Linked DNA regions of Lepisosteus oculatus. The protein of the gene in region 2 purifies or fractionates together with the protein of the main gene of each other region. This does not show direct contact. Links are inferred from orthologs where the notes say so. Each region holds a gene or a part of one and is shown on either strand. Other genes may lie near its edges.

Region 1 (10,868 bases), on a different chromosome or scaffold from region 2:
CTAACTAAACAAATTAACAAACCCACCACAAAACAGGCTTTTGATGAGCAGTAAATGGAATGTACACAAACTCTGGAGCAATCTTTGAGTAAGCAATTATTTAAATCAAGCCACGCTTGACTGTAGAGGTCTTATAGTAACGTTTAGTGCCTTAGGATGGCCTAATTCATTAGGTTTTGAGTTGATTAGGGTTCTAAAGGTAGTCTTGAAGAAGCACATTTCATCTTGCAAGGTGATACACTAATGAAGATGGAGAAGTGTTCAACATCACCTTATCTAGACAAAGGCCTGTATGTCAACAGCTTGGGATCATAATAGAACTATGCCATCACTTCATTTTCAAGAGGACACATTACCTGACCAATTATAATGGTCAAGTAGGGACCAAATGAGAACAAAAGACCAAGAAACTAGTCATTGAAAAGTTACCACCACACAAGATAATCACTAGTATAAGAAGCTCTACTCTGCAATATGATGAAGTAATTTCTACAAGTCTCCACATTGCATGGTGGAAGCCATAGGTATCTAATTTCTCCATAGTTAAAACAAACATCTACACAATTTTAGTCTGATCGCACAGAACAGAGACATGGACACACAACCACATTTGTTTGAGTCAACAACAAATGGTACTAGCTCAGCTCAACAAAGCAAGATGCCTTAACATGGGTAGAGAGGCAGTGGTGAGAGATATACTGAGAACAAAACCCCAGAAAAAGACAAGTAGGTAGCAGTGGACTCATCTGGGAATAAATGCAAATACAAATCAGCTCCCTGGTCACTCAGCTTCTCATATGCAATCATCTAAATATGCAATCATTTCTTCATGTGTGACAACAAGACCGAACACCTTCTTGGACTGGTCACTGCATTGACACACTAAGACCGGAACCTGTGGGCTACAAAGATGTGCAGTGCAATAGACCATGTGCACTAACAGAGGTACAAGATACAACTGCTATGTCCTGCTGAGTTTCAATACTAATAGGTGTACTCTATGTTGAGATTGTTTTAGGGTGAACAGTTGTCTTGCCCACAAATTCCTTATATTTTTATTTATATTACAGTCCAATGCTGGCAAACTTTATTGGACTGTATACATTTTAAATATATTTAAAATCTCTTGTGATGCTATGGATCTCTCCAAGACAAGAGAACAAAATTAAAAATAACCACAAAACAATCTATAAGATGCTTCCAAAACCTACAGTCAGACAATACATACAATATGCTGTCATGAAAAATAAAGGAAACTTGAAATTTACCACTGGAAAGTCTAACACACTTAAATCACAGAAAAACTAAAGACTCTCCCCATATTAAATTTTATAGCTTTTGGGCAGTTTAGAACTGAAATAGGCAACAGGGACCAGCTTCATCCTGTTTGAGATAAAAGTTTTGTGATGTACACAAAAACAGCATAAGACCACACTATATTCCATTTTATGATGTTACAAACAAACTGTAATTAAAAACATGCAGAATGATTTAATATATGCTGATGAAGGTAATTCAAGCACCAACTTCTGAAATGCTGTCATCAAAACTACACAATGTCTGATATTACAGAAAGGAAGAAGAAAATTATAAAGAGTTAAGTTTTTACAGAAACAAAATGAAAACTTATCAGCCTATCATGGGAGCATAGGACACAAGGCAGGGCATCCTGGATGGGAGACCAGAACCCTGCAGTGCACACCCACACAAGCACACAGGGACAATCTAGATAAGCTCTCCAAAAATACATCACTGGCCTTTGATGTTTAATTCTTGGTCTTTTAAAAAAAAGTAAAAGTCATACTTTTCTCCAACTAAAATAAGGCATCAAAGAACAACGAGGGAAACAGTGGCCTGAGTACTGGGCTTTACAGGACTGTTTATTTAATAACAGTGCCAGCGAGTGAAATACAAAAATGTAGCTAAAACCACAACGCATGGATTCTTTATGACACCTTGTGATGCTTACCTTAAGAGTTGATCCTTTTGGTCCTATCAGTCTCTCTCTCCTCTTCACATATATTTCTCTGTTTCTGACTAAAGTCCCAATTTTGATGATGTCGCAGGCCACATCATCCTGAAGAATTCGCACAGCCTATAGCAAACAATCATTAGGTGGACAGATCAGGAAAACAGCTGTCAATTAAATGTGGAATTTGAAATTTAGTGGCTTACCCATCATTTAACCACTAGTAAAATCAAATTAATTAGACTCAAGATGGTTTTATACAGTACTTTCAAATACCCCCATTTACAAGGGACGCAGTTTTGATCTAACCTACATTCTATTTACAGTCAACTCTTGGAAAAATGGCAGACTTGAACCTACATGGGCTTAGACATATTTAACGTCTATTTCAGCAGTTACCTAGCATTACCTATGATATTTTTCACTCATCCACAAGTGAACCTATCGTATATGAAATGTTTAGGACTAAAGACAAAACTCACACTTTAGTCCTAGAATGAAAATATTTTTCAGACAGATCCCAAACTTTAACTTTTGGGCTACAAAATATCAAAGTAATTCTAGAATAGATACTTGTGTTTATTGGTGGTATACCGTAAATGTACCACAATACATACCTGATCAAATGGAACGCTTCTTGCAAGCAGTTTTATCAGATCTCTAGCCCTTATAATGGCGTATGGATCAAATGTCTTTTTTGTGGTGCTGACTGTCACACTACCCTCAATCAAGTCTAGGGTTGCTTTGATGTACTGAAGAAAGGAAAAGAAATATAAAACACATGAGAAACAAAGTACCATTAAAGCAAAGGATATTTTCTGAGGCAATTGTAGAACTTTAAAATACACACAATCATCATTATCTTTTCCAATACTTTTTGGTAGCTCATAAAAGTAAAATATGCAAAGTAAAAAACTTTTACATGCACATACAGTACTACCACCAAATAAAATTATTTAGACTGTTGGATTCCATGTTTTCACAAACAGAAATGGAAAAACAACATGTAACTGGTGCCTGGTACCACTTAAATTCCCATGATAAAACAAGAAAAAAAGATGCAGCTACAATTCTAGAATACAAGTACACTACAGTATTAAGCATTTTTAACTCAGCTATAAAATTAAAATATAAAAACAGCACAAGGTCATCAAATAAAAATGTTCCATATTTTTGCAAACTGTAATTCAAATGGTACCTATTTTATTATAGTACATATTGCACAGTAGCACATAAAAGCTTCATTACTTCATACATTGGTACAAACACCAGGAACTGACTTCACAGCAGGAAACAAAGGTGAAAAAAGTGTTGAAGAAAAAAATAAATAGCATTATTTATTATTTATTTTTAGATCTTCATTTTCAGTTCCCAATGTTAATGATTAAAATTGTATTAATTTAATGTTATAATGACCCATCATCTACGCAGTCATTACCTCCATAACCAACATTTCTGTATTTCTCTTTTAAGAACTGAAGCTAATATTCTCCTTTCCAACAAACACGTCATGTTACAGTGATCAATATGAAAGGCATCTAGTATTTTTTTAAAAAATCTGTTGGACACTGCACCTTAAGCCAACATAGGCACTGGATATATTCTAAAATATATTGTTTTTTAAATTAACTTACAGAGTCGTTTAGTGCTTTCTGCACAAGAGGCCAACACTCCTTTAAGTAAGCTTCTCTATATTTGGGGAACAGAGTGGCAAAACTGCTTTCCTCCAACAAACCCTTCGGATTGTCCTCTCTGGTAAATGGGATGTCCTTCCATCCCTCAGGAACTGTCAGAAGCTCAGACTCATCAACTGCTCATTCAAGACCCCAAAAAAACAACAACAAATAAATCATAAATTCAAGAAGTTGACAAACAAGACACTTAAGCTTCTGGACATTTACTATTCAGATACTAAAACCTGCAGTAACAACAGCAACATTACTACTAAGCTGATACAATTTTAACACAACAAACAGGCCCTATGAATTTCAGAAGCTACTCAACTATTGAAAACTGGAAACAAAAACTAGAAATGCTCTGTTTTTTAAAGTTAAATCATCTGTATTATTTCTAACAGCTAGCAATCCTCCCTTAACGCTGCTTGTTTACTTTTTTTTGCCTGATTCTGAATGTTGTTCCAGATGTCCCAAATAACATTCCACGTTTACCTCTGTTCCAGAGACTTTCGTATTCCGTCTACATACTGTATATCTTCAGGTTTTTTCGAAAATCCTTGAAAGCCTACCTGTGATGTTTCTCAATGTCTTAAGCTGCGTACGATGGATAAGTACAGCGAATACCTAGTTCTTAAATACAGTGCAAACTTTCACAGAAGTTATATCTTGATTTCTATTTTTGTATAGGTGCGTTTTCATCAAGAAATGGTTTCATCAAAAAAGATTTGTATGTACTAGTTCTACACCACGTATCTACAACGATATGAACCACTGTTACTACAATATTATTGGTAGATACTTTTAAAAAATACTTCAAAACAGATGGGAAAGTTAGCATTTACAACAGAATTCTCAGATATCCAATACTGTCCTAAGATAACTAATAGCATTGCCAATCAAACTGGAACGTTGCAAATGTATAGCTTCCTAAAGTTATGACCGGTTTTATACTGAATTTATGGTTTATTACCTTCATTTTGTTTGTTTTTGTATTTCTTCTTGCTCGGCGTTTCACTCACGCTTGCTCCTTCTGTGGAAGACGCCATGACTGCACTAACCTTTCACCGCTGAATCACGTGGCAGACAGAAAAAAAACTGTGCATCTGCGTAAACAATCCGTGAGGAGCAACACATTTGTAACTTTCTTACCGAGCAAATTAAAATTACATTTTTGAATAGAAGTATCCCTCTTAAACCACTTTAACTGTAGAAATTAGAAATATTGTTTTTAGGAATAATAGAAAGTCAAATAAAATGAAGTACTCACTGTAGGTGTATTTGAAACATTCAGGATATAAACGCTTTATATCATTTTCCGTACAAATCACAAACATCTAAATTGACTAAAACGACAATGATGCTTGGCACTTCAAAAAGAGGGGTTTTGCTTTGGGTGGAATTCACTCAAGAGACATAGAAAAATAAATTTAGTTTATGTTTGCCTCGTCGATAAAGGTCTTAGCTTTTGTAGACTGCAGACTCCTGATCAAGTTGGTCACCTTCTTCTGTTATAAAATCAAAATTTAAATTCATAACCTAAATAACAACAATTACTCAAACGAAACATTTGTTTTTAGAAAATATACGAGTAGGAATATTCGTTTTATACAAAACTACAAATGGTTACTGCAGATGCCCTTGTCAGACTGCGGGAACCAGGACTCCAAAAGCACTGGTTCACAACCACTCCTAGGGTGTTCTATCTACATACTCAACACCCAAACAGGTACATAAATTTATCATTATTCTGCATTTAATGAACATCACAATTTACACGATTTTCGTTTGCATTTTTCTGCTCTAATATAGGGCCTTCATAAATGACTGTAGCCCAATTCTGATCCTAACAACATTACACAAACTACTCTAAACCTTGCCATATAACTATAGACCTCATGATACAAATTAAAATATTGTACTTCATTCACACTACAACCATCACCCTTAAGACTTGGATCATTAACACCTTAACCAGTGAAGTTAAAAAATACAAATCACTAATCTTAATACTAACTTGAAATAGTTTGTCTATTAATGCATGTTCGCAGTTGATGGGAGGAAGACACTAGCAAAAGTTAGCTGATGTTTTTACAGACGTTTTTAATACTGTATCTCCCTGTGCCAGGCAGTCATCCCTGTATGGTTCAAGACCACCATAATTATACCAGCCCAGAAGAAGACTAATGTGTCGTATCTCAATGACTATCGCCCCATGGCACTCACACCAATTATCATGAAGTGCTTCAAAAGGCTAGTCATGGGCCACATTAAGTCCAGACTGCCCACCTCTCTGGACCCCCTCCAGTTTGCAGATCGTCCCAACCGGTCTACCGCTGATACCGTATCCCTTGCCCTTCACCTTGCCCTGATAAGAGGGACACTTATGTAAGAATGCTGTTCATTGACTTCAGTTCAGCATTCAACACAATCATTCCCCAGAAACTGATAGAAAAACTGAGCTTGCTGAATCTCAACACCTCCCTCTGCAACTAAATTCTGGACTTTCTGACCAAGAGACCTCAGATAGTCCAGATAGGAATCAACATGTCTAGTACCACCATACTGAACACCATAATCCCCCAGGGCTGTGTACTTGGCCTGCTCCTGTTCACACTGATGACTCATGACTGCACTGCTAAGCACAATGCAAATTACATCATCAAGTTTGCTGATGACATGACAGTGGTGGGCCTCATTAGTAACAACGATGAGGCACCATAAAGAGAGGAGGTGGAGCAACTAGCGGCCTGGTGCTTCAACAACAATCTGTCTCTGACTGTAGATAAGACAAAAGAGATGATAACTGACTTCAGGAGGGCCCGCACTGATCCCTCCCCACTACACATCAACGGCTCCCTTGTGGAGACAGCTGGAAGTACTAAGTTTCTTGGTGTGCATATCACAGATGACAACAAAAAAGCACAACGTCTCCACTTCCTGCCGCGACTGAGAAGGGCAAACTTCCCCTCCATGATACTATCCACATTCTATAGAGGTACTATCGAGAGCATCTTGACAAACCATCATTGTTTGGGAATTGTAAGGTCACAGACCGCAAGTCCTTGCAACGAACTGTCAATACAGCAGGAAACATCATTGGAGCCTCCCTTCCGTCCATTCAGGACAAAACTTCCAGTATTGTGGATGATCCTCCTACCCCTCCTGCAACCTCTTTGCCCTCCTACCATCTGGTAAAAGGCACCGCAGTATAGGGGCCAGCTCCACCAGACTCCGCAACCGCTTTTTTCCCCACAGGCTGTCGGGCTCCTCAACACCCTGGTACCTACTGCACTTACTCCAGATCTGGAAACTTTGTTATTTTTTGCCTAATGTCAGGCATACTGTCTGATGTGTTCTTTGCACAATCCTGTAAAGTGAATTGCACTATCCACATTGCACTTTATGCAACCTGTCAGAAAATGTCTACGTCAGCATTGTCTCGTCTGTATTCGTACCATAGACCTGGAGAACGTTCTCACTCCTCTGTATACTTGTACAGTATATGGCTGGAATGACAAACTTGAACTTGAAAATATTGATCACTAAGGATTATTAAAATTACTCAAACTTTTAATTGAACGAAAAACTAAATGTAAATCATAAGGTTAAATCTTTAGTCTGATACAGAGGAGCTGCTTTTCTACAAGCTTAATGCCATTGCTTTCTTTGGTAAGGCTGTCTTAAATCGGTCGCAGTATATTAAACTCAAGCAGCCCGATTTGAGGATGAGTAAAATGTACAGTATAAATTGGCTCATGTTGTAGCTTCCTTGCATTGGCTCCTTGTGGAAATCTCTCCAGACTTTGGTGTGCTTTCCTTTTACAAGAACGTCACGGTTTACAGAAGTTTACACTAACAGCATGTCAGCCCATTGAAATTGTGTTTAAAGACAATTGCATTGTTCTCGTTTAATGTGCAGTATAAAAAATATCTGGTGTAAAAATGTTATATTTTGTACATGTCAAAATCTGTTTTAATTAAATACACCAATCTGCAATAATCAAGAATTCAGTAGGTTTATTAGTAACAATTTTAGATGTATAACACCTGGAAAAACAAGTACAAATCCTGGACACTGAAGACAAGTCACAAGTTGTCTTCCAGTGTTGGCAGATTCCACACCAGCTCTACTAGGTACATCCAGCACCACACTATACTTCAAAATTAGTCCATTAGGTACTTTTGGATTTGTTTTTCAGAACAGAAACAAATTTTATAAAAGTTCTATAAGAACTAAGAGGAAGGAAAGGAGTATTATCATTGAATCCTTTCTTGATGTTTTTCACTGCATTTTAAGATGCACTTTATTGCATTCATGCCCAGCAAGGTCAAAAACAGGAAGCCTGTTGTTCCACCAATGATTGTCATCACATTTAGAAGCTGATGCCCTGTGAGAAAACATGAAGGTTCAGGTTAAAGAACATGACAGAATGCCATGAACACTTGAGAGACTTCAGTATGATAGGAGAGAACAGCAAATGTTTCACTGAAGAAAGAAAGAATTTATCCTCCTTTAATCTCCTACATTAAAGTACATCAAACTAAATTTCCAGGCATTCTTCAGGAAGCATAGTTTAAATTGCAGATATAAAAAACATCAGCTATAAAAATGTGTAAATGATTTCAAAGTAAATTTATGGCTTGAGCACTCAAAAAAGAATGGTTTGACGCTATTAATATCTTATGCCAAATGAACCAACATTGACATCTAGTGGTTACAAATAAAACTGGTACCCATTACATCTTTTAGATATTTCCAGATTTCTCAGACTGCCAAGCACCTCCAGAATACATACATTCAGTACTTAACACTGCAGACCCCATGATGCCCATCAGTGAATCTAATGGACTACATTTTTCAATGGTTTTCTCACTAGTCACAAAGACGGCAGTATCTATTAGTAATCTGATTGAGAACACACGAACAGAAACCAGGCACAGACCAACCAAGTTGAGCACCACATTAGGAGATCACTTTATTGGCCATAAACAATTTCTTGTATTAGGGATTTGTCTTTTTGCCTACCCAAACTTACTCTCCATGAGACACAGACAGGGAGAGAAGCCTGAGATCAGCTATTTATACGGCGTCCCTGGAGCAGTTGGGGTTAAGGCTCTTGCTCAGGGGCCCAACGGAGTAGGATTCCTCTGCCGGCCATGGAATACGAACTGGCTACCTTCCAGCGACAGGCGCAGATCCATAGCCACAGAGACACTGCACTGCCCCATGGTGAATTAAGAATTAAGATTCTCTCTGTAACAGTGGTCGATTTAACTTTTGGAGCAGAAGCTGCACCTACAGTAGCCACAGAGAGATTAGATTCTTTAATTTTTTTTTTGTGAGGGTCCTGTGTGCTGGAGATTTCAATACCATACTGGTAAAAAAAAAAAAAATTACTAAAGCGAGCAATGTGAAGTTCTTTTGGTTCAGTTACTTACAATCTGATCGTTTTGCCTCAGACATCGTGGCATGATCCCCGACAATGATGGGCCCAGCTGACAGAACTGCCGTTAGCAATCTGTTTTTAAGTTCTCTTCTTCTTTTGTCTGTTCTCCTTGCAGGACAGACCTGTCAAAGATTTTTAAGAATGAAATGGAGGGGGCATACTCTTAATATTTTCTGGTAACTTATACACAAGCTGCAGTGGTGTAAAAAGAAAACTTATTGTAATTTAGTGCTATTGGAAAGAAAAAAAATACCATTGAGCAGTTTTCCTTTTCCTGCTGGGTGCATATTTTTGTTAAGCAGTGCACATAGATGGGTTTCTTTGGAGTGACAGTAAACATCTGTACTGAAAACCGGCTCTTCTGTTGTAATCCATTAGCTGTATACCACCGAAAGGTCTCGTCAACAGGACAACTGGGGAAAAAAAAATATAATTTACAATATATGGCCTTAAAGTGCAAAAATGGGAATTCCTCATAGATATGACATTACAGATCCTCTATGTATTACACAATGTTCCTGTATTTTTTCAAGTTTTTTTAAAAAAAACTTTTACATTTAAGGTGCACCGCAACATTTTCGAGACCAGTGAAAGAGCTTATTTATGAAGGTTGAAGTCAACTCTCATCTCGCAAGTGAAAAAACTCTAGAAACCCCACATGACCATTGCTCCCATTGTCAGAGTCCTACAATTACAGAGGCATTTCATGTAGGTGAGAGAAGCCATTTCTAAATAAGCCTCAAGGGCAAACTTTTACAGAATACAGGTTTATAAGAGGCCTTGAAACCAAGTACAGTAGATTAAATGTATAGGTTTGAAAACATTAAATGGGGACAATTAGAAAAAACTGGACAATACCTAAGCTGAGCTGTAGTTATCCATAATGCTACTGTACATGCTGTTGCATTTGTCAAAAACCCTCTACTTCCAAATTAAATCTAGGAAATATTAGCCATCGATGATCCTTTATCTATTATACGAATAACAGATCAGACATGCAACAGGTCAGCAACTAAAAAGCACACAAAACTGGCACTAATAATTTCGTGGTCTGGCAGTTGTTTCAATAATCAACCAGTGCCGTACAAATGACTGACATACAGTAAATACAATGTTCACAGCTCAATTTAGTGTACATCCTAGGTCAGCGATGGAAAAACATGTTTTAAAAACAAAGACCTATATCAAATTATTAAATTTGCACTAGCTCATGCAACAATGAGTACTTCAATGAATCATGTGTGGTATCAGGCACATCACTCTACAGCAGGACTGTACTGTATGTGCTCACCTTTCATTCAAGAAGAATACCTTCGGTGTTCCCTTTGGGTTGGATGTCTCCGTTACCCAACAGGAGACCACCTCCAAAACAAAGTCAAAGGCAAAGGTGTCCTGTGAATGAAGGGTCACCTCAAAAAAGAGGTGAGTGTCCGAACTGAATTCCATCGGGATCGAGTTGTTGGACTTAAAAGAATCATTGTCGTGTAGAGTCATACGGAGTTCCAAAATCCGGCTGGTGTTGTACTGGATTAGGATCAAGGACTGATGCCTTGAAAGGAAAGAAACATTTGGGCTTGATGTGGTATATGAAAATATGCATTTATAAAAACTGATCATCTCAAATGTTGGGAAAAGGTATTAAACTGTGCTAACCCGTCTATAAGGTTAGACTTTTTTAGCAGGAAAATCAGAACCAATAAACAAGTTTACTGCATACAGCATTTTAAATTTATAACTGTGTAGAAGTATTAATCTTACAATTGCTAAATTAAAAAC
Region 2 (10,903 bases):
GCACTACGTACTGTACATAATTTGCAACAGGCTGCTGGAAGTTTTAATTGAATCTACAGCTAAACAAAACTAGTGAATGAGAGTGGCACACGTGCTTGTGATAGTGTCAGGGTAGAGGTATACAGGATTAATAGATCAGACCCTGAATACAGCATAGTGTATTTCCCCTCTGTAGTCTGAAGACTACAATTCCCAGAAGGTGCTGGGGCTCAGAACAGAGTTTATGATTAGAAACACGTTACCTACTAGTAATTCTAGTCGTACTTAAAGGGAAGGGCTGCACTACGAGAGCGAGACTGCGAGAAGTCTTTGCATGAGTACAGACCTACGTATTGGACAAAACCCTCGAGAAAAGGACGTTTCTGTATGGAATTTCCCACCACCCCCCCACACACACACACACATCCAGCAGCATGAAGGAAATCCCTGAGCTTTGGCTTCTCCCCACGCGTCACACTTCCATTCAGCATGCACGGGACAGCTCTTAGAATAAACACATGAAGTACATGTAGACTCTCCACTATTGCCCTCCTCACGGCTTCGTCCTCCTCCTTGTCCCGCTGCTTGGTCCGCCTGGCTTCCTGTTCGCTCATTCGCATGGCCAGGCTCACCATTTCGTCTTCTGTCATCTCTGAAGAACAAGAGCATCTCCATGACTCAAGGGACAGGCCTGTCTCCCCGTTAGGTTGCTAAGCGGCCTAGTACAGGGTTTGGGTAGGAGGAGGGAGGGACAAAGTACGACTCTCAAGGTCATTTTCCATGTCCCACAGAAAGAAAGGCCCCCCTCGCTAACTTTCCTCTTTTGGTGGCACGACTAATTTTTATTGTTTAAAGTACACTGTACCTCCCCTTAGAAGGCAATTAACAATCATAATATCTTCACCGTTAAGAAGTCCGAAACTGTTAATTAATCATGGATATAGTATCGTATTTTCTACATTACTAACCATTACCGTGCCTTCTGTCACAAAAAAATATCATTGAGATGCCTTGTCCAGCAACTCTCCATGAGACACAGACAGGGAGAGAAGCTGGGGGTCAGAGCGCAGGGTCAGTCATTTATAAAGCGCCCCTGGAGCAGTTGGGGTTAAGGGCCTTGCTCAGGGGCCCAACGGAGTAGGATTCCTCTGCCGGCTGCGGGAAACAAACCTGCACAAATCTCAATTGTTAAGGCAACCTTTCAGAATGAAAACAATTAAACAGTTCAAATTAAGGTAAGTTATGGGTCCAACCTACAGGTTCAGGACTGAGAGCACCTGACCTAGACAAAATGACTAAACATCACCCAACACCTTCTGCACACAAGGGGGTCGTGCAGAAGCCTGTCATACGTACATGAAATGCACTGGAGCCCGTGGGGAAGAGCACTACTCCTGCTTTAGGAGGCACTTAATGTGACAGAATAATAATAATAACAATAATAACAACAACAACAACAACAACAACTATTTATAGAGCACATTTCATACAAATAGCAGATCAAAGTGCTTTACAAACCAAGCGTAAAAATAAAATCTTAAAAATAAGAGATATACTTTCAGTTGTAAAGGAAAACAGTAATACAGTAAAGCAACATTAATGTCAATTTATGCTTGAAAATTACATAAATAAAAATTAGGAAAGTCATAATAAAATAAGACCAATAAAAGATAAATAGAAAAGAAAGATAAATAGAAAGAACACTTAATAATTAAAAACCTACCTCGAGCCTGTCCGCTCTGCTGTCGTGCCTGCAGCCTGTCTTCCCTTGACAGGAGAACGTCATGCTGTTTCTGTAGGTAAGGACACAAAGGTGCAGCACATTTCATCACCAAAGCTGCTGTTTCAAACTACAAGAGATCACTGCATCGTAAACATACGAAAAGTGGCAAACGAAAGGAGGCCATCAGGTCCACTTGGCTTGTTCGATGTTTTAATCGATGACTGAATTTAAAATCTTTATCGGGCAATTTGTTGTACACCAGAATTTTGACCTCAACTAACCGACTGTTCCAGACACTCCTTGTATATAAAGGTGCATTTCCCATCCGCCGACCTGAATCAATTTTAGGACAGAGAAAAAGCTTCCAGTTGTGACACCACATTCTTATTTCACTTCCGATCCTGATATAGTCCTCTGCTTTTACTTATTTGAACTTCAGATACTTGATCCAAACCTCCTCTTAATCTCCTTTGCTCTAGAACAGGGGTGGTTAACTAAATTCCTGGAGGATGCAATGTCTTCTGCTTTATTCTTCTTCTCCATCAGAAGCTCACACCCCTGTTCTAGACTCAAGAGATCTACAGTAGTTCCTTTAACCTGTCCATATGTAACAGTCCCAGAAATCAGGATTGGTAAGGGCTGATCTTCTTTGGAACTTATCTAAGAGAAGAATGCACTTTTAGTGGCATGGGGCGGAAAACCCTATACAAGTCGAAAACAGAATGGGGTAAAAAACTAAATAAAGGCATGCAGAGCTCCTATGCGTTTCAGTTCCCGACAACACTTAAAAAATTGCGCCCAGAGCGGACAGCCGGAACTCAACCCGTAGACTCGCTCATCTCGCTCGATTCCTCAGTATCCTCGCCCGAACATGCGTGGGTATAGCCTAGTCACCTGGGTCTTTGGTATGCCCCTTTAGACTTTTTCCTCCCCCCAATAAGAAGGGCAATACTGAATAAAAAAAATAAACTGAAGACGTCTCAAAGCCGCGTCTGCTAGCTATGATGAAACACTTTGAAGGACAAGGACCAGCACAAACCTCGCTTTCTGCGTCAGACACAACAACAAACTCGCCATTGTTTTCAGCGAGATGTCTCTTCTTGGGCACTTGGTCCGCTTCCCTCGCACGAATTCGCCTTTTCTGCGGCATACCGTCAGCATACTACATACAACCCTGGCTTTTACAGTATGGAAACAATAGCCGAATAGGCTGGAATAACGATCTGTGCGGTTCCCACTGAGAGATGAAAACCTCAGTATGGCTGCTCAGCCTTGGTTGCTTGGCGCACTGGTGGGTGCCACTTATTAGTCAGCTCGCAAAATACGAATTATTGCAGTTGCACTGACAGCAGACCTCTTACTGTAAGACGACTCGCAAAGGTCGCCATATTTCCCTCGCTCACGTGATCTCCCAGCCGCAAAGAATGCTGGGTGCATTCTCGTTTGCAACTGTTCAGTAATGCAAACCAAGAGCAGGTGTTAATGTTTACGCTTAAGTAATTTTGGCATGCATAAATATCAACACATTGTATTGATTCACTCAACATATTGAATTAGTTGTTTTGGAGCTCGTTATTCCAGTCTGTAAAAACTCGCTGAAAATCTGAAAGCTATCAAAACAAAATTCAGAACATGATTTCTAAGAATGGTACTAAGCGCTCTCGTTTGCTTTTGTTGTATTTTAAGAAACATTTCTCCGGTTTATGAATACATTGACCGAATATTAACTTGTGATGTGAGGAAATCTAGAACACAACAATGTTTTATTGCTAATTTATTAATATTGAAATTTGGGAGAGTAATCTTATTTGCAATCACAAGGGATAAATCTCATATGTCTTGGGCTTTAAAGGATATGGCGTCTCCAACAAAGATAATCTTCGCCACGAATTACTCCATTTGATGGTTTGTCCATACAAAAGACATTCTTTTTGCTCTTTCGACTTTATTTTGAATACAGGAGTGAGACAGGATACACACTGGGCAAACACACAAACACTCTCAGCAGGGCCAGTTTTACAGAAGTCAGGTGTCCTACCGACTTTAACGGAAGAACTTGGTGGGACACAGACTGCACCACCAGACACGGGAGAGAACTGGGACACCGGGGGGGAGTCCACCATCGTCTTCCTCCCCTCCTACCCTAGAGTGGACTTGGGGAAAATAAGGAACAGCAGGGACAGAAGAGGTAGCTGAAACCTGTAACCCCTGAAAGGCTGCAGAGAGCTCTTCGCTGTGGTGCAGTGAGGCACACCGGGACATCGCTGCTAATCTGGGACACTGGGTTTTGGGTAACCGGCGTCCACGAGGGTTTGTGTGTTCTGTGAGGGTGTGTGGCCCTTGGGGATCCATTTATCATGTGTGTTCTTATGATCAGATAGAAGTTACCACTCTTGACTGTAGGTGTAAGCAGAATAAATACTACGATTATGTTTAAAACAAGTGTGTCTTTGAGCTGTGGGTGGAAACCACAAACAAACTCCATGCAGGTAGCAGTGTCTAAAAAAAATGCGGTTTGGGGAAGCAGCTCCTCATGAACTTTTACCGCAGCACAACAGAACGTGTCCTCACTAGGGGCATCACCGTGCAGTACGGCACTACTACCATGCGTGACAGAGACGCACTACAAAGGGTTGTGGCAACGGCCCAGAGGATTATAGGATGTGATGGGCCATCAATCGGTGAGATCCACACCGCCCGCTGTCGCTGTAAAGCCTGTCCGTCATACAGGATCCCAGCCATAAGCTGGTCTCCCCCCGCGGTACCGCACTGCAAAAGAACTGACCCTTAGACTCAAGAACAGCTTCAACCCTGCTGCAGCGAGCATCATGAACCGCTAACTGTGCATTGTCTCAGAGGATAGGGCACCCCTGCCCTCTGCACTCCTGTCTTGAACTACCATGTATTTGTGTTCACTACCGCCTATTTCTTGTTCTCTACTGTGTATTTATTGTGCTGGTCCGTTTGTTGACTGTACATACCATCACTGTTTGTTACGTACTGTCTACACTGTGTGGTGCTGTACTGTACCCGTCCCGAGAGATCAGTGTGAATAAGAATCCCACTGTTCATGTACATACAGTATGGCAATAAACTCCCCTGCTCTATTCACCCCAGGAATTGAACCCAGTGTCCCATCGCCGCAAACCAACAATACTAACCCCTGTGCCACACCCGAGCCACCGTTAACTATAAATAAAAACCCATACATGATTTCTTTAGAAAAGCACCAATTTAAAAGGAAACACATATTCGTTCATGTGAACGTTTCATAATTCAGTTTAATGCTACAGAAAAGAGTGGAACCAAAATGGGAAATATCAGGTGAGCCTGGCAGATATATTTTGCCCGCTTCATTTTGTGACCGCTGTGTTGTTACCCCCCCAAAAAAACCAAACTATCACGGCTGATATGAAAGACACCGTCTTCTGTAGGACACGGAAGTTTAATTGACATAAAACACGTAAGAATACTGGACAGGCTCACCTGAAGCAGCCTGGACTGGCCAGCTCGAAGGCGCTCAGTACGCCTGGCCAGTACTGGGAGGGGGGTCGCCGAGGAAGAACCAGGTCTGGGTTATAAGCTTTATCCCCCCGTCTGAGGGGGGCTCCTCGCCTCAGAGGTGTCATCCTTAGGACGGGGTGTTAAAATTAAGATCCCCAACTACGTCCTTCGGCTGAACTCATTTCTCATTCCTCCACCACACCATACCAGGCGGGGCTGACTTCAGTAAGGGCTGGAACTGGGTTCCCCCCTTTCTAGAAAGAGTTCTAGGATCTTTTGGGATTAAAAGTACTATGTAAATGGAAGGCATTTTACCCGGGTGCAGTTAACCTGAAGAAAACCAAGCATGTTTATCGGGATGTTTTGTTCAGAATAGTGCACTACACCGGTTTTCTCGTCTTTATTAATTCTTTCATACTTCTTTTCTTAAGAGGAGCTCAAAAAAGTCCCTCGACAATGTATGTAATGATGGATAAGTTTATTACTGTTTGCAAGAGGTCAAAACGCAGTACAGAAGTCAGAACGCACTGGGGGGGGTGAGTTCCGTGCGATTCAAAATATCAAGACGTTATTTGAACAGACCTGTTACACTTAAGGGGATATAAAGAGTCCCCCCCCCACATTTAAACCGGTAGCACACAGCGCCCCCCACCGACCGGAGAGCAGAGACCTCAGGCTGCAGCTCGGCGGCTCTGGGAAACATGGCGGACGGAGAGCGGAACGGGGATTTACCCGCTGTGCCGTCGGGGCTGGAGGAGGGTAAGCGCCTTCACCCGAGGACCCGGAGTCGAGCGGAGTGTCGCAGATATCGGGGGGACTTGTGCGAAGCTGGTTTCCCCTCTAGAGGCGGAGGAGTCGGACACAAGCGGGGAGCTCAGCGGCTGACTGCCTTGGAAATAAGTGCTCCGAGATGGAAGCTGTAAAAAATAAATAAATGCATCATTCGAGGTCGAGGAAGCGAGGCAGAAAACAGTTAATGCTGTCCGCGGAGAGGGTATATAAAGTGTGCACGGAAATTCCCGATCAAATGCCTTCTGCTACCTCCGCAGTCTCGGCGAGATGTTTTACGTTACTGTCAACATGGAAACCGAGCTGCGGGTCTTCACTCTTAAAATGCCTCAGTGGACGCCAATAACATCGCTCCCGGTGAATGAAAACTTTTTTTCGGAGTAAATGCCCTTCCGCCTAGATACTATATGCTCAGCCAGGGCCATTCCGGGAAGCTGCTACGCTCTCCAGAACCCTGTTTTTATCCAGACAGGTTTATAGGTCACCTTCTTAACAAAGGTTGGCTGCACCTCTGTGTTATTAGCGTATTAACTCTAATAAAGGATGAAGGATGAAGAAAGAGATCTTAGATTTGGGTCCCAGATCAATGTCTAAAGTACTCCATTTAACTAATCACCCACTTAACTGATCACAATGAAATCATATCCTTTCTTCACATTTCGGGGTGACCTACATTGGGGATGTCCTGGTCTGTGGCTTGAGACCCCCTGTTCTAGAGATCTAATTAAATATTTCCCATGTTGCAAAAAGGAGGTTTGTGTCATTCCGAAGGTCAAGAGTAGAAATCGTTTTGCTAGATGGGGGTGTTCAGTCTTTGTGACCAAAGTCCTTCCTCTGGCTAATTCTTAATTCATTAATTGACCTTCAGCATCTGGACTAATTAAGCAGTTAAGGGTCCTTTCAGTGCTGCACCTACTGGAAGTTCAAAAGTGCTGTAATGACCTGGAATCAGGGGTCAAGGCTGAGATCCCTGTGCTAGCGACAGATTTTCACTCCTAAATACACCTGAATCTTGCAGCTGTTTGTTGGCAGAAAAAGTCACTCTGCATTAGTTCAGTCCAGTTTTGTTCAGTTCAGTTTATTTGTCATATGCACAAGTGCAATGAAATGCTTATTTGCACCTGTTCTCCAATACAAAGACATTAAAGGAATCGCCAAAAACATAAACACAGAACAGCAGCAGCAGCAACAAGTTAAATAACATACAGCTTAAAAAAAAAAGATGGACAAGCAAGTTTGAGGAAAAAAAACATCAGTGTGCTGATTACTGAGCTCTGCCTAACTCTCGGTAGATAGTCCAGCTACAGTACATTCTAATGTCAGAAATATCAAGTATTGGCACTGCCTGAACTGTGCCTGGATTAATGACATTGCAGAGATTTCTGCATTTGGGATCCAGCTGCTTGTAAGTGCTTTCAGTGGTTTTTTTCTGCTTTATCATGTAATCGACATATTGTGTTGATTTTATTGAACCGTACATCACCCGGGATAAGAGCACCTGCTAGGAAGATAATGTGTGTTGACGGGAATGTATAGTTTCCAGTGTACATTGGATAAAGCTAACTTTTGCTTCAGTGCATGCCCCAGAACTAGTGTTAATAGTGCCCCGTTTGTGTTCTTCAACAGTGAACAAGATGATCAGCGAACACAGTCACCTCTTCTCTGACACGCAGTGCAAAGTGTGCAGCGCCCTTCTCATCTCCGAATCACAAAAGCTTGCCCATTACCAGGTGGGTAGATTACTTGGCTGTTGTTTTCTGTGTTGTGTCTCTGCGCTGCACACTTTGTCCGGACGGCCCCCTCTGGCATGTGGGAGAGCGCAGCCTTGAGACAGACTTAATGCAATACCAGTGTATTTGTGTAGATTGCCATCACATCCTAGCATGCTACATAAACAACACGTAAGCAGGCGGTAAGCTGTACTGTACAAAACACTAACCACGAAGTGGAGCAACTACGGCTGCTGAGGAGGGCAGCTGGTATTTATATGAAGGATATGGATATCTCAACATTTGCAAGGGTTCAGTGTAGAGAACCATTGCAAAGAGCCAAGCCCACCTCTGAACGTTCGCATATTTAAGTCAATTACCATAATGAACAGAAACAACAGTCCAAATTTCAAACGTACAGTAATTAGCTAAAATAAATAACCTGAATCCCTCCTCTGCGTCTGGCCTGCAAATGATCTCTGCCTTCCCAGTTCCATGATTAGCACATCGCACTGTAATGAAAAGGGCAGTAAAACTGTCAGTGGGCCTGTAAAGTCGTCTCCAGACGGTCGTTCCACACACTGCTGACACAGAACCAGGAGCGTTCATTACAGTTTAAAAACCAGGCCACCCTGAGATGTGGATGCTGGATAGGGGGTACTTGGGCAGGGGGCAGAGAGAAGATGGAAAAAAATTGCACAAGTGGATTAAGAAGACTGGTGCAGAAATTTAGATGTCGATCTGGATCTGATGGCAGTTGCAGCACTATATATTATATTATCCCTCTCCTCTTGCAGTCATGCGCTTATTGACAAGTGTTACAGTGCTCTCTCTGATAAAAGGGTGTTCAATACAAAATGTGAGGCAGCACTGTGCTTATTAAATACTCCCGCTGAGCAATGCAGTACATGGTCTAGTATATGGATCATCTCTGCCTCTTTGGTTCTGTAGACCATCTGTGTGGCATTATCAACCGCTCTGTGCATAGCCTTCATCCAGGGACTGGACCAGTGTAAAGGTTCCCAGCTCTGGGAGACATTCAGATCAGGAATTCAGTGCTGTTTTATTCTTCATTCTGGATTGCTGCTGATGTTTAATAGTTAAATGTTGTTGTTTTTTTTCACTTTTACAGAGTAAAAAACATGCAAATAAAGTACGCCGATACATGAGTATCCACCAGGATGAGGAACCATCGTTGAAAAGGTTCAAAGGCCACTCATCTGACAACGTAAGCATGAAGCAGTGTTTCTTTGAAGAGCAGGATAACAACAATAAGTTCATGAGCCCTGATCAGGGGAGCAGGCAGGGGTGGTTTAAAATGGCACATTAAAGTCAAGCTGAATAGTAAGCACCAAAACAGTGGTTCAATCTTAAGCAAATTTTAACCTCACTGAAATAAAATAGTGTCATTGGGGTTTACTTATTTTTGTTGGCCTCCGGTGTTGGAGTACCTCCTGTTTGTGTAATGTGGTGAGTCTCTTGTCCTTGCTGCCATTGTAAATCAGTTAGTTATATGAGTAATTCTGTTACATAACGGATAGCAAGTGAGTTTCTGAATGTTTTTGTTCCAAATGAGTACTCAGATGAACTTTCTTTTTTGCTTCGGAGAGAACGTGAGTGTTTAATCTGTTCCCCATTTCATAACAAGACTGCTCATTTGGCAATACAAGAAGAAATTGTGAGAAGTCTCCTTGCACTAGAGCTGGGAACGCACTGCAGTCATGTGTTTTGCAAGTAAAAATGTTTTCTATGAACAAATTAATCCCCTGGTCCATCCCCTGCACATTTCTACTCAAGGCACCCAGAAATGAAGTAAACGACTACAGTGGAGCCCCCACGAAACAGGGCCGTGGCCGTGTTAGTAGCAGCAGTGCCAGACTCCTCTGTCCCCTGTTGGCAGCGTGGAGCACGGCGAGTCCAGGCTGAGGATCCAGGGACAGCAGGAGAGGCGCCCAATGAAGCGTCAACATTAAAGAAGCAGCCAGGCCAGCTGGCCAGATCGTTTCTACAACCTGGGCTTTCAGCGGGTGGGAGTCATCAACCAACAGGAGCATGAGCGATCTTCCCTGTTCAAGTTAAGGAACGGGGAAGAGACTTTTCCTCAGACAGGCTGCTTTCATCCCATCTTCTCACAGGCTGGGACTTAGGTCAGGGGAGGCTCCTTCGCTCCATTCATTGACTTTAGTGTTTCCTGTTCCTTCCTCAGGCAGGCAGCAACGGGGTGGTGGATCGCAACAAGGCGTGCTCCATCTGCAACATGACGTTCTCGTCGCCCGTCATGGCCGAGTCCCACTACCAGGGCAAGGTGCACGCCAAAACCCTGAAGCTGAAGACTCAGGGCTTCCAGGCTGCAGGTAAGACAGCCAGCTCCTGTTGTCTGCCGCCGACAGCCTGAGCTGGTGGGGCGGCCTTGTCTTGTCCCGGAGGGGTCCTGACTCTCCATGGTCATTAGAAATCCCCGGGCGCATCTCGGAAAGAGCAGGGGGTGCTAACCTTGGTGTCCTGGCCAGGTTCCCCCCTGGCTTTCACCCGTCATGGTCAAGGGGAGGTGATGTGATGTAGAGTAGGAAGCGAAAGGCCTGCTCGCGCGTCGCTGTCGGGCTCTGAGGTCTCATCCCCCGGGCTTTTTTGACGGAGGCTACAACTCCTGCACAGCCTCCTCCCCGCCGCCGGCCGGGACCCAGGCCAGGAACCCCCCGGGGGGGCAGAGCGCAGAGGGGACTCAGGGGTCTGCCGAGGGGGACCCCGACCGCTTCTGCGTCATCTGCCACGCCTGCTTCAACAACCCACTCATGGCCAGGCAGCACTACGTGGGCAAGAAGCACAAGAAGCAGACGACCAAGATGAAGTTGCTGCAGACCTACGGCCCCTCCAGCACGCCAGGTGAGCTTCCAGCCTCATAGAGAGACAAGAGCTGGGAAAACGCACAGTCCCTTCTCACCTCTCTCTCCCACACACACACACACACACACACACACACACTTCTCCCCTGCACTGGCTCTTAACTCCGTCCTCAAAGTCCTGTGGCCTCTCCTGACTGTCAGTGCACTGGGAGCCCAGTGATGGACACCGGTCCACTCCATGGCCCAGTCACCCCACTGGGGACCGCAAGGGCTGTCCGAGTGCAGTCGCTTTGGCACCTGCCGCAATGCGAAGAGATGGTACTGTGGCGTGTTTTTTCAGGCTCTGTCCAGTCTGA

Evidence for each region.
Region 1: the proteins of znf346 (region 2) and krr1 purify together in Homo sapiens (affinity purification with mass spectrometry; 3 studies listed by BioGRID and IntAct, with this or other methods). This does not show direct contact. The link is inferred for Lepisosteus oculatus from reciprocal best matches to the Homo sapiens genes ZNF346 and KRR1.

Annotation. Positions count from the first base shown.
Region 1 is NC_090702.1:21,455,013-21,465,880, reverse strand, and holds the start of krr1 (KRR1 small subunit processome component homolog), read right to left. Parts: upstream 4,724-10,868; 5' UTR 4,692-4,723; coding exon 4,616-4,691; intron 3,780-4,615; coding exon 3,604-3,779; intron 2,722-3,603; coding exon 2,587-2,721; intron 2,096-2,586; coding exon 1,970-2,095; intron 1-1,969. Other genes in the region: uncharacterized protein, read right to left, coding at 7,903-8,033, 9,085-9,214, 9,346-9,505, 10,384-10,641. UniProt on the Homo sapiens protein: Part of the small subunit (SSU) processome, first precursor of the small eukaryotic ribosomal subunit.
Region 2 is NC_090706.1:39,911,426-39,922,328, reverse strand, and holds the start of znf346 (zinc finger protein 346), read left to right. Parts: upstream 1-5,886; 5' UTR 5,887-5,907; coding exon 5,908-5,965; intron 5,966-6,267; exon of another isoform or gene 6,268-6,352; intron 6,353-7,621; coding exon 7,622-7,725; intron 7,726-8,836; coding exon 8,837-8,932; intron 8,933-9,910; coding exon 9,911-10,058; intron 10,059-10,359; coding exon 10,360-10,587; intron 10,588-10,903. Other genes in the region: uimc1 (BRCA1-A complex subunit RAP80), read right to left, coding at 507-631, 1,703-1,772, 2,742-2,852.